2 linked regions of the Macaca mulatta genome follow. The protein of the gene in region 2 interacts with the protein of the main gene of each other region in a pairwise test. Links are inferred from orthologs where the notes say so. Each region holds a gene or a part of one and is shown on either strand. Other genes may lie near its edges.

Region 1 (3,918 bases), on a different chromosome or scaffold from region 2:
AAGGGAAAACCAAAAACCAAAAGGCCCTAGGTGAGGTGGTTCCCAGTCAACAGTCCTCCCCACTCCAGACACACTGCGCTCCTCGCCAGTCCTCTGAACATGCCAGTTAGTCCTCCCAGGGCCTCTGACTTGCTGTTCCCTTTGCTTTAAAGTTTCCCCCCAGACTGCTATAAGGTTCAACCCTCACCTCCCTCATGTACTCAACTGTCACTTTTTTTTGAGACAGAGTTTCTCTCGTCACCCAGGCTGGAGTGTAATGGCTCACTGTAATCTCTGCCTCCTGGGTTCTAGCAATTATCTTGCCTCAGCCTCCTGGGTAGCTGGGATTAAAGGTGTCCACCACCACACCCAGCTAATTTTTGTATTTTCAGTAGAGACGGGATTTCACCATGTTGGCCAGGCTGGTCTCAAACTCCTGACCTCAGGTGATCCATCTGCCTTGGTCTTTCAAAGTGCTGGGATTACAGGTGTGAGCCACCATGCCCTGCCATCATACACTGGCCTTCTTTGACCACCCTAAATTGCATTATTCTCCATATATAGATATGTAGTGGGAGCTCATCCTGGAGCAGTAGAAGGCCGTGTTCCCCAGAAGCATGGTCCAAAGCATGGCCCATATACATATATAATATGTATGGAGAATATATATATGTATAGATAGAGACGGGGTCTATGTTGCTCAGGCTGGTCTCAAACTCCTGGGCTCAAGCGAGCCTCCCACCTCAGCCTCCCAAAGTGCTAGGGTTACAGGTGTGTGCCACTGAGCACCCAGCCTCTATTACATATTTTACTTATTTCCTGTGTTATTATTTTTCTACCCCCCTGCATTACAGAATTTCCATGAAGGTAACATTTTTTTTTTGTTTTAGTACCCTGGCCCCTAGGACAGTGCCTAGCACATATTAGGCACTCAATATTTATCAAATGAGTGAACTGTATGCTTTTCTCAGAGCTCTTTAAAACAGACATGGGGCCGGGCGCGGTGGCTCATGCCTGGAATCCCAACACTTTGGGAGGCCAAGGCAGGTAGATCACTTGAGGTCAGGAATTCGAGACCAGCCTGACCAACAAGGTGAAATCCCGTCTCTACTAAAAATATTCTTTAAAATGAGCCGGGCGTGGTGGTGGGCACCTGTAATCCCAGCTATTTGGGAGGCTGAGGCAGGGGAATCGCTTGAACCCGGGAGGCGGAGATTGCAGTGAGCTGAGATTGCGCCACTGCACTCCTGCCTGGGCAACAAGAGCGAACCTCCGTCTCAAATAAAATAAAATAAAATAAAACAGACATGGGCCGGACTCCGTGGCTCATGCCTATAATCCCAGAGTTTTGGGAGGCTGAGGTGGGAGGATCACTTGAGCCTAGAAATTGGAGGCTGCAGTAAGCCTTGACTGCGCCACTGCACTCCAGCCAGGGCAACAGAGCAAGACCCTATCTCAAAAATGTGAGATTTGATTATTAAGTTATATGTGCACGTAAGCATCTTATCTCCCCTGCCATTCCCCCGCGGGGCCTGGCACAGAGCAGAGGGAACGGGTGTGGGCGCCTAAATGGACTCAGAAGGCGCACAGCGCGCACGGGGCACTCGGGCTCACATACACACATCCTCAGCCACAGGGTCATCCAAGGGCCGCGTAGCACCAAAGAGACAGACTGTTGGATCCACGCTCGAAAGGATCCGCAGAGTCCACATCCGCCACCCGCCACCCCGCACGCCCCCAAGATTCGCAGCTGGAGGGCGGGGCCGGGGCCTGGAACCCTTGGGCCCGGGGGAGATGAGAGCCGGGAAGGCAGCGGCCCCACGCTTGCGCCAGGCCGCCGGTGGTGGCGTCCGAGTCATCTCCGGGACCCACCGCCCCTGACACTCAGGCCACCCGCCGCTGCGCCTGCAGGCCCGCTTCTGCGGCCCTCGGAGCTGGCCCCAGCCCCAGGCCAGGGGTGCTGCGCCTCCCGGCCCCCTGGGCGATTGGTGGGGCCGGCGTGGTGACGCCAGGGGCAGTTGGGACGCGCCGGCCGCCGCGTTCCGCTCCCGACAGGGGGCGCCCGGCACCGCCCGCCCGGCGGGGCCCCGCTACCCCCGCGGCTCCGGCGTCTGGAGGATACAGCATGAGCAGTCGCAGCTCCCGCTCTTTCTGCTTCATCTTCTTCAGAATGGTCAGGAGCCCCATGGTCCCCGGAGCCCCTCCCGGCCGCCGTTTCTTCCCAGTCCCGGGACCCCGCTCCCGGTTCCTATTGGCTATCACGCTCGCCGACGGCATAGCCAATTGGCTGGACGCTCGTTTGGTCCCGCCCCCGCCGCACGTGATCGCGAGGTCGCCCGCGCAGCTGCTGCGAGAGTGCCCCTAGCGGCGCAGGAGCCTTTTGTGCTGCCGCCCGCCCTGAGGCTGCGCCTCCCGAAGGCTGAGGCTGGGGGAGCAAGGGCGACACCCCTATCCTTTCCCCCGCCAGACCGGGGCTCTGGGCCGGAGCGGAAACCTTGAAGTTCCTGAGTTGCATCTTGGCTGCGTCTGACCTCAGAGTCAGAACCCAGGGTCTCCAGGTACGGACGAACTTATCTTGGGGCCAGTGTAGGCCCCTGTTCCCAGCAACACGGTCCAAATCCTGCTCCTCTGGGCCCTCGGCATCGTCCTTAATCTGCCAGTGACAGAGCAGAAAGTTGGGCCTCCCCCTACCCTGCTCCTGTGGCTCTCAGTTCAGGGCGGCGGTGCCCCCTGGAGGCCGTTCGGAAACGTGCGGGGCGTCCCTGGGTTCCAATGACGGAATTGTAGTCCGGTCCCAAAGGCTCCCCCACCCAGAGGCCCAGCGTTTCCCTGTTGAGAAGCACAATTCCTACTTTTGCGGATGGAAAAACCCAGATGGTGCTTAGCACAGTGGCTGGCATGTAGTAGGTGCTCGATAAATAGTTGTTGTTGAATGAATGGCTTTGTCCAAGAGTTTCATTCTTTACCTTAGCGCTTAAGAAGTCCAGAGGAGGCCGGGCGCGGTGGCTCACGCCTGTAATCCCAGCACTTTGGGAGGCCGAGGCGGGCGGATCACAAGGTCAGGAGATCGAGACCACGGTGAAACCCCGTCTCTACTAAAAATACAAAAAATTAGCCGGGCGCGGTTGTGGGCGCCTGTAGTCCCAGCTCCTCGGGAGGCTGAGGCAGGAGAATGGTGGGAACCCGGGAGGCGGAGCTTGCAGTGAGCTGAGATCTGGACACTGCACTCCAGCCTGGGCGACAGAGCGAGACTCCGTCTCAAAAAAAAAAAAAAGAAGTCCAGAGGAAGTGAGGAAATAGGTCAAGCATCAAGCCTATTGTAAACTCAGGAGAGAGCCTTATTGTCTTAATTTGGTGCCCCAGCCGGCTGCAGGCTAAATGTGAATAGGCAGCGCAGAAGATCCTCTCTCATGCTTGGGAAAGAGCTGTCAGCACCAGCTGAAGACAATGGCTAACTCCTGTGTAACTGTTTGCAATGCGCTCCACGTGTTCAGCTTCATCCTCCCTGCAACCCTGAGAGGTTTCTATTCTTTTCGTAGCTATGATAATGGAATCCCAAGTGTTTAAGGAGCATGGGTGAGATTCAAACTCAGGTCTGGTCAATGGTAAAGCACAATGTCTTCATGCCTCCATGAAGTTTGCCTAGACAGCGGTCTGGAAGAAGCTGGAGCTTCCCATCTTGCAGAAAGGGGCTTGTGGTCAGAGGAGGGCTGAACAGATAGGCTGCCTGAGTGGGACCCTTGGGTCAGCACCATTTACCCTCCATCAGACACACACAAAGGAAGAAACTGAGCATAGCGCCTACCCAGAGACTTTGAAACCCAACTAAGATCAAAATGGGAAATGCTAGCTGAGCGTGGTGGGTCACACCTGTAATCCCAGCAGTTTGGGAGGCTGAGGCGGGTGGATCACAAGGTCAGGAGTTCAAGACCAGCCTGG
Region 2 (3,818 bases):
TAATTATATCCATCATGGATACAGTGATACTCACATTCCAATCTAGAGATGTGACATCCTTGTTGCTTGGAACATCTTGCCCTCCTTCTCGTATACAATGTCTAAGTACTAACTGTGTAGAGCCACTGGTGCTGTTCTCACTAAGATTCCATATTCTTGCTGTTGAGTCTCCAGACCTATAAAAGTATGCAATGTATTTTAAATCCTCATGACATTCTCAACTATCAGAATCAAGGCAACATATTTACATCTGAATATTAATAAGGCAAATAAAAACTAAACTATCACAGATTTTCATTTCCAGTATTTTTCCCATTCTACACATTGGGACCCCCAAGCGTTCTCGAAACAGTAAGTTTAATTAAAAATTCTACAATTACTTCATGAAGGAATAAAACATTTACAGAGACAAAATGGCCACAAATAAGCAACAACAGAAAACCTGAATAATGCATATGTTTATAAAATGCTCAGTAAGATATTTGTAAAAGCCATTTTAGTATCACTTTGAGAAACACACCCTGATGCTAGGAGATCACTAACAGGGTTCCAGGCACAGATGAAAACTTCAGATTCATGGCCCCGCAACACAACTGCTTTATTAGGAGGGATTTCAACATCCCCATCCACTTCCATCATATCAGTATGATTATCTGCATCGTGAAAAACAAGTAAGCAATTCCAGTTAGGCAGTATTACAATATGGCGGATGGGTGAATTCTTAACTAGCAAATACCTTCCTTTATCACATACAGGGTTAACATTATCAAGTTAAGCTGAACATGACTACACAGTCTTAGTCACATAGAAAATAAATTGGTACCTTTAATTAAGTATTGACCATACTTTTTTTTTAAGAGGGATGGGGGTGGGGGTGGGATGCAGACTTTAAATGATTAGACCTAAACATGGATAAAACGATAAAATGGTTTGAACTAAACATAATGTCTACCAGTACTATTCTGAGTTTCTGCCAGTAGGGGTTGCTGATATCATTCATATAACATGACTTGCCTTTTATCTCAATGTCAGAGCGCTATGGTATTTGTTGATAACTAGTATTACAATTTCATTTAGAAATCAAATGTAGATACAAAAATTCATTTAATGATGGGAAAAGGGCTTCTAGATATTTTAAAAAGAAAATAAAAGTAAATCTAGCTTTTTGGAGCTTCAGGAATAAAAATCTGATCTGTGTGATACAAGTTAAGAAAACAAGTTGGTGCAAATAACAGATGGAATTATTTCGGCATAGAAGATGGGACATTCTGTTAAAGCAAATATATTTCCTCTGAGAATAAATTTTTAAAAATTCTTATCTCCTGGGACCTTCCTGGGGGATGGAGGGTGGAAGAGGAGGATCAGAAAAAATAACTATTGGGCACTAGGCTTAGTACCTGGGTGATGAAATAGTCTGTACAACAAACCCCTGTGACATGAGTTCCTCTATTTAACAAATCTGCACATGTACCCCGAATTAAAAGTTTAAAAAATAAACCACGTAATTAAAAAAAAAATTCTTGTCTGAGCTCACTTGCTATAGTATGTGCTCCATTCTCTTCCCCATTTGCTGTGTTTTCTCCATTTTTTGCAGATCCTTGTTGGCTGGCTGCAGCTGCGGCAGCTGCAGCAGCTGCTGCCTGTTGCTGTGCAAGCTTATCTCTATAAGCTTGTTGTCTTGTTTGTACTACATCAGGCATTACGGCATCTATCAGGGACAGAGACTCTATTGGTCGACCATCAAACAAGGTACCATCCTGGATTTGGAAAATTGTGAGAGAAGAAAAATCAAAGGCAATATTTAAAGTTATCTGTATTTATACAAAATCAGAAATGAAATGAAAATCTTCATTCCTAGAAAAACATTTTGAGGAACTTTCTGAATTCATATAAGAAGTCCCGACGGAATAAAGAAACTACAAGCAGCAACTGGAAATGACTGCTTAAATTTTCCTTTTTATTTAGTTCACACTATTATTACAGTATAGAGCTGTACAGATAGAGCTGAAAGATGCAGGCCGAGCTGATAAAAAGGTTTATTAATTAGATTCTGAAATTCTGTTAGTCAAAGCAACAAACAATATGGAATAGGTCATAGAATGATCAAAGGCCTGGTGCCCCATTATAGTAAATACCTCTTTTAAAAAACTAAAAACTTTGAGTTAAAAAGTTTCTTGTGATTTGATTCAAATATTAAAGCAGAAATAGACTTCATGAGCTATAGTGCTCTTGAATATTAGGGAGTTGTTGAAATTTCCAAAGCTCCACTTATTGATATTAGGAAGTTCCTAATAAAGAGTTCTCCAAGTAAGCACAAGAAGAGACACAAACACAGAGCAAGTCAGAAACACAAAGAGTACAAATTAGCTGGGAGCATGCATTTGTGAAGTCTCGTTCACTTAAACTGGTAAACGCGCACCAGTGACAATCTACAGTGTCATGGTAGGGTAATGTGAGCTGCAAAAACACTGCACGTTTTTGCAGTGTTTCTGAACTGCAATTGTAACACAGTATTTGAGGAACGGGAGAAAGTATTTTAACTTACAGATAATTTTATAAAGATACTAAACCCAACACAGATACACTGTGGAATAAGCGCTATGTCAAATTTACACACGTTGTAAGAAAAAATTTAGTTTTGTGTTAGTGGATTTTCACTCAAAGAGCTGAGGAAACAAAAAAATCCATTTTAGTATATTATGTAATTTCTAACTCTAGTAATAATCATTGATACAGAAATCATGGATACTTCAGTTTAAAAAATACTCGCAAAAGTGGAACATGTTAATCTCTGAAATAAAAGTAATGGGAAAAGCTCCACACTATACACAAAAATTTTAAACTAGGCTGGGCATGGTGGATCACGTCTGTAATCCGCATTTTGGGAGGCCGAGGTGGGCAGATTACCTGAGGTCAGGAGTCAAGACCAGCCTGGACAACATGGGGAAACCCCGTCTCTACAGAAATACAAAAATTAGCTGGGCGTGGTGATGGGTGCCTGTAATCCCAGCTGCTCAGGAGGCTGAGGCAGGAGAATAGCTTGAACCCAAGAGGCGGAGGCTGCAGGGAGCCGAGATTGCACCACTGCACTCCAGCCTGGGCAACAGAGCAAGACTCCGTCACACACCCAAAACAAAACCAAAACCAAAAACAACATTTTAAACTAGACCGGGGGTATAGTTTACAACCTTTTCCTGTAAAAGAGTAGACAGTAAATATTAATTTAGGCTTTGCAGGCCATAAGGTCTCTGTCGCAACCACTATTCTGCCAAAAGTAGCCAAAGACAATATGTAAATGAGTGTGGCTGTGTTCCAATCAAATTTTATTTACTAAAACAGAGAGCAGCATTTGGCTAATGGGCCACAGTATGCTGACACCTAAGCCAAACAAACTACTCACATGTAGTCCTTAGATCGGCAGTACCATCCAGAGTTGGCTTCAACTATAAACTGGTTTAAATTAGGGTGTATTCAAATAATGTGAGAATTTACAATTTTCAGGCCAATAATTATGATCTTAGCATTCCACAGCACAATGCTGTTAATAAAAATTATTTCTTAGTGTTTACTTATAAAAACAGATGAAGGCAAACAAACTACTAGGCGCCAACACCTTGCCGGTGCAACCTGACTACTACATTAGGGATGAACTGTCTGCACTTTTGTTACCCCTGTGAAGCTAAAGTCAGAATACTGAATAAGCAAGCAAGACAGCTGACTTAACGGCACATTTAAGAGTAAAAATTAGTACTTGAAGTAAGTCTTCCTTACCTCATTAATACTAACTTCTGCTTCTACATACTGTAGACCTTTCTGGA

The links.
Region 1: the proteins of TBL1XR1 (region 2) and ARL2 interact in binary tests that used the Homo sapiens proteins (3 or more experiments, as listed by UniProt). The two-hybrid records come from large-scale screens. The link is inferred for Macaca mulatta from reciprocal best matches to the Homo sapiens genes TBL1XR1 and ARL2.

The regions. Positions count from the first base shown.
Region 1 is NC_133419.1:9,369,480-9,373,397, forward strand, and holds the start of ARL2 (ADP-ribosylation factor-like protein 2), read right to left. Parts: upstream 2,203-3,918; 5' UTR 2,167-2,202; coding exon 2,102-2,166; intron 549-2,101; exon of another isoform or gene 484-548; intron 1-483. UniProt on the Homo sapiens protein: Small GTP-binding protein which cycles between an inactive GDP-bound and an active GTP-bound form, and the rate of cycling is regulated by guanine nucleotide exchange factors (GEF) and GTPase-activating proteins (GAP).
Region 2 is NC_133407.1:89,020,214-89,024,031, forward strand, and holds part of TBL1XR1 (F-box-like/WD repeat-containing protein TBL1XR1), read right to left. Parts: coding exon 3,772-3,818; intron 1,758-3,771; coding exon 1,535-1,757; intron 654-1,534; coding exon 521-653; intron 177-520; coding exon 35-176; intron 1-34. UniProt on the Homo sapiens protein: F-box-like protein involved in the recruitment of the ubiquitin/19S proteasome complex to nuclear receptor-regulated transcription units. Plays an essential role in transcription activation mediated by nuclear receptors.